2 linked regions of the Rattus norvegicus genome follow. The protein of the gene in region 2 binds, or shares a complex with, the protein of the main gene of each other region. Links are inferred from orthologs where the notes say so. Each region holds a gene or a part of one and is shown on either strand. Other genes may lie near its edges. The genes, in order: Anks3 and Anks6.

What was found.
Region 1: the proteins of Anks6 (region 2) and Anks3 are in contact, whole or in part, in a crystal structure (PDB 4NL9), measured with the Homo sapiens proteins. The link is inferred for Rattus norvegicus from reciprocal best matches to the Homo sapiens genes ANKS6 and ANKS3. Residues at the interface, in NP_775822.3 of Homo sapiens: Glu796, Gln797, Glu798, Val799, Asp800, Glu802, Ala803, Thr806, Leu807, Asp811, Glu814, Leu815; in NP_597707.1 of Homo sapiens: Lys441, Tyr442, Thr470, Leu471, Phe472, Gly473, Pro474, Arg476, Lys477, Arg484.

Annotation. Positions count from the first base shown.
Region 1 is NC_086028.1:11,119,938-11,124,381, reverse strand, and holds the start of Anks3 (ankyrin repeat and SAM domain-containing protein 3), read right to left. Parts: upstream 2,822-4,444; 5' UTR 2,755-2,821; intron 1-2,754. UniProt on the Homo sapiens protein: May be involved in vasopressin signaling in the kidney.
Region 2 is NC_086023.1:66,132,566-66,136,374, forward strand, and holds part of Anks6 (ankyrin repeat and SAM domain-containing protein 6), read right to left. Parts: intron 2,807-3,809; coding exon 2,762-2,806; intron 1,792-2,761; coding exon 1,587-1,791; intron 450-1,586; coding exon 343-449; intron 1-342.

The sequences.
Region 1 (4,444 bases), on a different chromosome or scaffold from region 2:
GCTGAATTTGGGTGGGCGGCAAAATTGAGCTCTGTGTCTAGCTTCTCCAGTTCCTAATTCCTCACTTATGGACATGTGTGTATAAAAGGTTGTTGCTAAAATGCACGGAAGCTGTGTGTGGTGGCATACCTCTGTAATCCCAGCACTGGGAAGGTAGAAGAAAGGCAGGGAGACTATGAATTTAAGGACAGCCTGGACTATACAACAAGTTTAGGCCAGTCTACCTACACAGAGATCGTCTCTGAATAAACGCAAGAGTAAGTAAGACCAGAAAGGTGGCTCAGGGGTTGGTCTTACCGAGGACCCAAGTTCAGTTCCTTGCACTTACTATGTCCAGTGGCTTACAACCTCCTGTAACTACAGCTCCAGCGGATCCAATACTCCTTTCTGGCTTCCTGGATCTGCATTCGTGTGTGCACATACTACCCCCAAGATACATGCATACACAGAATTTCAAGTCTTCTTAAAACAAACCAAGGCAGGAGAGATGGCTTCGCAGTTAAGAGCACGTACTGCTCTTACAGGGGACCCGAGTTTAATTCCCAGCATCCATATGAGGCAATTCACAGCTGCCTCCAGGGGATCACACACACATAAAGGTCAGGAATGTCATGCATTTGCATCTCCACAAACCACATGGAAGGCTATATGTGGTGATGCGACTTAATTATGGTACTTGGGGAGATGGAAACAGGACTGAGTTCCAGGATAACTAGGACTACAATAGTGAAACCCTCAGAGAAGTAAAAACCAAAAATAACAAAAAAACAGCCTGGGCAGACAGAACTTGCCTCAAAAAAAAAAAAAAAAGGGGGTGGGGTGGGGGGAGGACAAGTAGGGCAGGGGAAAAGAAAACCCTAGTAGACTGCAGAAGGCAATCCTGATGTTCAGCAAATGCTACCTGAGCAGGAACCCACCCACACAACCCTTTTAAGTAGGAAAGATGACCACAAGGAGGGCAAGTGTATGGTTAGGAGTGCTTTATTCTGGGTAAGCCTACTCAAACCAAAGACTAGCCATTTATCTTCTAGCAGACTCTTACGTCTAGGAGCACAGGAAGCTAGTACAGAACAGGAAGAGATGGGAGATGTCAGGTGCCCTACTGCATAAGACCTTGAGTCCTGAGTCCAAGCCCTAGCAAGGCAAAGTGTTGGGGGGGAAGGGGGAGAGAGAAGAGATAATGGCAGTTTACTGTGAGTAGGGCCTTAGTTTCACATTCAACTTTCACATGTGCAATGGCCACTGTTTTGTTTTGAGAAAAGGTCCTACTGTGTATCCCTGGATAACTTAGAACTCAAGTTATAAACCAGGCTGGACTTGGTCTCATAGATAGTCTTTGCTGAGATTGAAGGCATCTGCCTCTATACTCAGTCACTGGTCACTGGTACTACGCATCCATGGGGCCACCTCAGTGACCTCAAACTACTTTAAGTGGCTGAACCCCTCCAGGACTGAATCACAGTGCTCTGGTAAGGTTATTACTCTGAGGTTGTAACTGACCCTAATCTGATCTATCAGAGTCAAGAGCAGAATAGAAGGATGGGAAGACCTGGGCTTTGGCACTGAGCCTACCTGGGTCCCATCAGGGGTGGGGGTTAGGGGGGTCAAGACCACTGCAGCAGTGGCCTCAAGGACACAGAGCACCATAATATCCATACTCAAGAGGAACCCAGAGGAAGCCTGAAGGAAGTGTGTACCCAGAAAGTACTAATTCCCTGCTTTTAAACACTCTAGCATTATTCTGTGTTGGTGAGTGCCAAAAAGGGGGGGGGGGGGTAGAAAGATCTGTCTTTCTGGTTGAGGAGCTATCTTAGTGATAAATATCATATATACACAGCTTGCAAGGACATATTTTAAAAATTGAATTATAAAAAGGACAACGTACAAATCACTAATCTGGGGAGCAGCTTGCAAGCCTCATGGTGAGTGATGTGTGTAGGCTGGTGAGGTGAAAATCAAGGCCTGCATTCTGGAAGCACTAGCTTCTCATGTTGCAACGCCTGAACTCAAGTAGTACCTAACCTCACTGGTGAAACCGAGTCTGAACCAATAGTGGACACATGCTGGCCTAAAGGTGCAATTTTAGCAGATAAGCAGAACCCTGGAAGGGCTCACACCTGTAATTCCGCTCTTGGGGGTGGGGGTGGGGGTTGAGAAAATAGGACCACTTTTGAGTTCAAGGACAACCTGGAATACATGAGATGCTTACTCAAAAAACATACAGCCCACTAGCGTAGTGGCTCAGGCCTTTAATCTCGGCACTTGGTGGCAGACCTCACTGAGTTCGAGGCCAGCCTGGTCTACCCAGCGAGACACGCCCACAATCTCAAAAAAACCAATACCCAAAAAATCGATTCGAGTAAAATAAAGGTTTGTATGTCTTCTGCACCTCGCTTCCAGAATTTCAGTAACAGCACTGACGTTACTCTTAAATTTTTTAAGTCTTCGTTTAAAAAAAAAAAATCTATTCTGGAGGCAACTGTCACTCCTTCAAGAGGTTCGTGAAGGCCTCGAGGGAGCCCCTGTAGCCCAAATGTGAGACGCGGTTCCGGCCCTATAGCGGTCCCGACGACCGTGCACGACCGCTGGCTCCCGTGTGACTGTATAGTCTGGCAGGTACCTCAGTTTAGCAACACGGAGCCGGGCCCGCGTCCCCAGACCCTGTGACAGGCAAGCGCCAGGGTTGACCGTCAAGGCGGCCGCGGGGCGCCTCGGGCCCCGCCTCTCAGAGGGCCCCGCCGCGGCCCGGCCTACCTGCAAGGCCTCAGGTTCCCGCGCCACCCTCCAGCAGCAGCTGCACGCTCCCTCACCGGCCAACAGCCCTGCGCCCGGCCCACCCCGGAAGTAATTGTCGGGCAGCGCAGAGCACCCCGGGAAGGCGACGGGCGTTCTGTTATTGACATCCCATAGCAGCCAATGAGATGGCAGATACCGCTCATTGCTCAGGAGCCAATCCTGAGACAGAGAGGCGGGCCGTGCCGGGCGAGGAAGAGGCGAGGAGGCGGGTTGTCGGGCTGCGCTGGGTAGCTGTGCTTAGCCCGGGCTCAGGGCAAGTGGACGAGCGGAGCGGACGAGGCGAGTAGGAGACCGCGGAAACCTATGCGACCATGTGTTGGTCCCAGCTGCGGGTGGCAGGGAGTCGACCCTCCCCTTTGCTCTAACACAGGCCGGCTTGTCCCGCTGCCTTCCAGTCCCCTTGACAACGACGCCTGGCGTGGCGCGGCGCGGGGCGGGGCGGGGCAGAGCGAGGCGAGACCAACTGGCTTTGAGGAGAAACACTGAGCCCCTCGGTCTTCTCAGCTCCTTCATGCTCTTCCCCCTGCGAGTCAGACCTTCCCTCAACCTCAAGGTCTTGCACACCTAAAGGACGACCAGTCTTGGGCGGCCCCCTTCACTTTGGTGATTCTGTACCGTACTGCCAAAGCCCCTGTTATGAAGCATCCTTTGCGTATACCAAAAGCGTCTTCACCTATGGTTCCCAATTCAGGACCGCCAAGCACACGTCCTTTTTACAATATTCAAAGACCGGGGTTGGGGATTTAGCTCAGCGGTAGAGCACTTGCCTAACAAGCGCAAGGCCCTGGGTTCGGTCCCCAGCTCCGAAAAAAAGAAAGAAAAAGAAAAAAAAAAACAATATTCAAAGACCTTAAGCCCCCACACACTCCCCTGATGCTGCTCCGGTTCGACACCGTTAGCTGATCTGCCTGGTTCGCTAGGCCCTCACCCCCTAATCCTAAAGTCCCTCTTTCGAAACCCTGAAGGCTGAGCATCTTTTTTTTTAGGGTAAGATACAAAGGGTGGAGCTGAGCCAGGAACTGGATTATAGGGACTCATTTGAATGATGACAAACAGAATCGTATAATGGATCTAACTTCTAAAAATTATTTTTGATTTTATTAGTTTTATTGTAATTATATGTATGTGTGTGAAGGTGGGTATGTATATGTGTAGTCTAGCGCAGGTACCAGTGGACACCAGAGACATCGGCTCTCCCTGAGGTTGAAGTTACAAGTAATTGTGGTTTAGGGCTGTATTCCGATCCTCTACAAGAGTAGTTACGAGGACATCGTAACTGCTGAGCCATCTCATTCCTTTTCTCAATGCTGGGGATTGGACTCGTGTTCTTCTTACATGGAGACAAATGCTCCACTAAAGGCTCTCCCAGCTTTCCCTTAACTTTAATTCAACCTCTCTAAGCATATAGAATGGAGGTAATCGTGTTCTTAAAACACATATATAAAATCTCCAAGTCCTAAGGATTGTGTATCTATACATACACCATTTGTATCATACACACCTCCATTTACGTGCCATTAAGCACATCTCACACATGTGCAGACACCATGGTCTTGTGCACTCATTACTGCACACACCCACACGTACAGTAGCATAAGTTTGCAAAACCAGAAGGAAATAGGTAGAAAGTGGGATTCTGCGGGCGCAT
Region 2 (3,809 bases):
GGACAGCAGGGCCAACAACCACCAGAGAAGAATGGGCCTCCTTCTCCACTCAGCTTTCCCTGTCACAGGCCCTTGATGTTTCCTGCAAAGTCACTTAGTATCTCTGACTGTGACCACAGGATGGTTCTAGGTCCTGACGGCCTGCAAAGTCGCATGCCCTTGTCTGCCCTGTCTCTCCAACTCTGGGATTGCTAGTGCTGGAAGAAGGCTAGCGTAGAGACCCAAAAGCGTGGTGTGGGCCCTTGATCCCTGAGACAGACTTCTAAGAATCAGCACAGACTCCACAGTGAAGGGAGGCGGGCTCCGGTGCCCGGGGGAGGAAGGGTATGGAGGCTGACTCACCAGGATCATTCAGCAGCATTACCAGGTCGAAGGCCGTGTATCCGTTTTTGGCTCGAAGAGTAACATCAGCCCCTTGATTTAGCAGATACTTTACAATTTCTTTATTTCTGGGGAGCAAAGAGGCACGCAGTTAGACTCCTTACTCTCATGTGGGGATTGATCACCCTACAGCCCATATGCAAAGGCTTGGTCACAGGAAGGCGCTGTGGGCTATCAGAGGGGGGCCTTACAGAGGTCGCTGTGTATGTGCCCTCAGGGCGGGTTAGGGGCCTCTGGCTCTGCCTCCTGGATTAAGCACTTTCTTAGACACTTGCCCTCTGCCCATGCCGTGGATACTTTCCCCAGAGGTTGGAAGCCTCAGGACTGCTCTATCTCGAATAGCAACCTGCAGAACCATGAGCCAAACTAAACCTTTTCTTTATAAATTAACCGCCTTGGGCATTTTGTTAAGAGTGACAGAAAACTGGCTAATCCAGCAAGTGACAGGGAAAAGTGTGGCTATGTTCCCGGACAACAAGGCTGCCAACATTAACCGGGGCACACAGCCTTCCAGTGTTTAAGTGGGACGTGGCCCATCACACCCTGTCACTCAGCAGGTCAGGGGCGAATGTGCTTCCCATCAGTCCTACTGTTCCTCCCTAATGACAATACAATCCCAGAGCAAAGCGCTCAGCCACCACACCTACCTGTCCACAGAACTTTCTGGCAGGGTCAAGGATCTGAGGCTCATCGGATAAGAGAACCGATACAGGAGTGTGACATGGTTGGCTGAACCAGGCAAGGGGAGACCCAGAGGGGCCTGCAGAAGTGACAGCCCACTTAGCTGGGATGATCACATTACTTTAAAGGGGAAGGTCAAGATGACCGCCAGTGTGAGCTCATGAAAGCCCAGGTATTTGTGGCCACTGCTCAGATCATGGAAGGGATGCTTAATGGAGGTCTCTGATCCATCATGTGAAAATGCCAAATGACCAATCATGGTTAAGCTGGAAACAAACGGGAAATTAATCTTTCTGCCTAACGTGCACCCGCTGTATGGGTTTATACAGCCAGGGCAGGGTGGCGTGTGCCCTGGATAAGACAGAGGCTGGCCGAATGGAGCCCACGTTCATTCTATCTTTTTGCAGGCCTCAATGTCCTCACAGCCCTGGGCTGGCTACAGGTGGCATCCTGGGTCAGAACACCCCAGGCCCCAGCCAGAGCACTTGCTTGGCCTCATGCGGAAGGGGGTGGGAGACACAGACCCATGGTAGGTGGCCTGCATGAGGGCCGTCCAGCCATGCACGCTGTCCTGCTTGTTCATGTCTGCATGCTTCTCTACCAGCAGCTGTACCAGGGGCAACTGTCCCGTGACAGCAGCCAGCATCAGTGGGGTCGCCCCGTCCCCGTTGACCAGGTTCACGTGGTTGGGGTCTTCGTCAGCAATCTCCTTGACCAGCTGGAAGTTTCCTGCAAACGGCAGGAGTCCAGGTGATGCACAGCCCCTGGCACCACAAGATCATTTATTCAGTTGTCTCTCGTGATGAACAATGGCTCACTCTGCCTCTGCTATGGTCACGGGGCCAGTAAGGTGGGTCAGAAGGAGCCCTACTCAGATCCCTCTACCTATGACAGATGGATGAACAAACACAGGTGCTATCTGTGTCTCAGAGAGTAGGGAGAGTGAGGAAGGGCCACAGGACTGAAGAGAGAAAATAAGGGTCTAGATGGTGAACGGGAATCCAGGAGGGCTGCCCGAAGGTGGTGTCTGCATCAAGAGGAAATCCTGGAGCTTGGGAGATGTATGGGTAAAAGTGCTACCCATGAAAGCTTTAGGACTTGAGTTTGAATCTCCAGATCCCACATGAAAGACAGACATGGCATGTAGTGTAGGTGTCTATAATCTGAGCGTTCCTACAGGTGGGTAGGAGACAGGAGAATAAATACCAGCAGCTTGCTGGCCTGGCTCTGGGTGGACGGTAAGAAAAGAAGGTGAGCAATGGTGAACCTGACCTCTGACCTCCGCATGATGGAGTGCCACACAAGTGCCTCTTCCTCCCCCTCCCCACCCCCCCACACACATGCACGCACACAGGCAGGTGGAAACTCTGGGCTAAAGAGTCTTTCAGTCATAACAAAACTGGGGCTCGCAGAAAGAGCCAGGTACATCTAGCTGGTGGGATGGTAGGGACTGGGAGAGTGCTCTAGAGCCTGTGCACAGAACACTAATAAATTACAGGCCTCCGGGGCCCACCCTCCCCGGTGAGAGTAAATTATAACATCACAGAAGTTAAAAAAATATTTTTAAATAAAAGCGAACAACAAAACCACATTTCTTTATCGGATTCCTTGTGCCGGTGGTGAATCGGTGAGACAGGCAGGCTGGAGGGAGGGTGGGGCTTGGGCTCGGCAACATCCAGAAGCTCTCTGAAGCACTTACCCATCTTCAGGGCGTGGAAAATATCAGGTCGCCTCTTCTCCTCATCTGGGTAAACAGAGATTTCCAGAATCAACCAAGGAGAAGTTTTAACAGAACTCTAAAGCCACAGGGGGTCAGAGCGCAGGCTAGCTTTAAAAATCATGGGGCAGAAGCTGGGAGCAGGGGACTATGTGACAGCCCTCCTGGGTAGCTGTCACCTCAGACTTCTGCAAACATTGTGGGGTGTATTTACCTAGGTTAATCAAAAGTATGGCCTTGGAAAAAGTTCACTCTATAAAAATTTGAAAAAGAAACTTCTAAAATCTAACTACAATGAGCTAAGTATGAGGTCAGAGAACCCTGTGACACTGAACCACTGAGCTCTGGAAGTAATGACTGTGGCCCCCAGAAAAGCCAACGACATCTGTCCTTTCCTTCCAGACACTAAGGACTTGAGTGGGGTGCCCTACCAGTCTGTGGACTACTGTCTAGCCAACCGTCCATCAGACATGTTCACACTGGCTCTGACCCTTGACCTGGTGCTGTGACTCCACGCCCACCAGTGCACGCCCCTCCCTCCCTCCACAGGCTCATACCACACTTGGCCCAGCAGCTGCCCACAATCAGACCTTCCCTAAAGCCAGTCAGCATGCTGGGCTTCACGGGCAGGACTCCTGCACCTTCCTGAACGCCATGAGGGACACCTCTGGCTCTGGGCTGCCTGGGAGGAGCAGTGAGTGACCTCCATGTGAGCTAGCATGCATGTTTCTAGACAGGCTGTCCCATTAACATCAGCATCTGTGCCACGGAGTTGTCCCAAGGAGCAGCAGGTGGCGTAGGAAGGAGGTGCTTCAGAAAGATGGAGCCTATAGAGTACCACTGTGCTAACTGGCCCAGCAGCCACCCCAGCCAAGCTGCATGGAGTAACTCCGTGACTCTCAATATCAAGAACAGCAGGGCCACAGAACAACAGGGCTAATTTTGCCTGTGAAATATCATGACACCACACTGTAGTCACCCAAAAAGCACCTCTGGGGGCTGGAGAGGTTAAGCAGTTGAGCACTGGTTA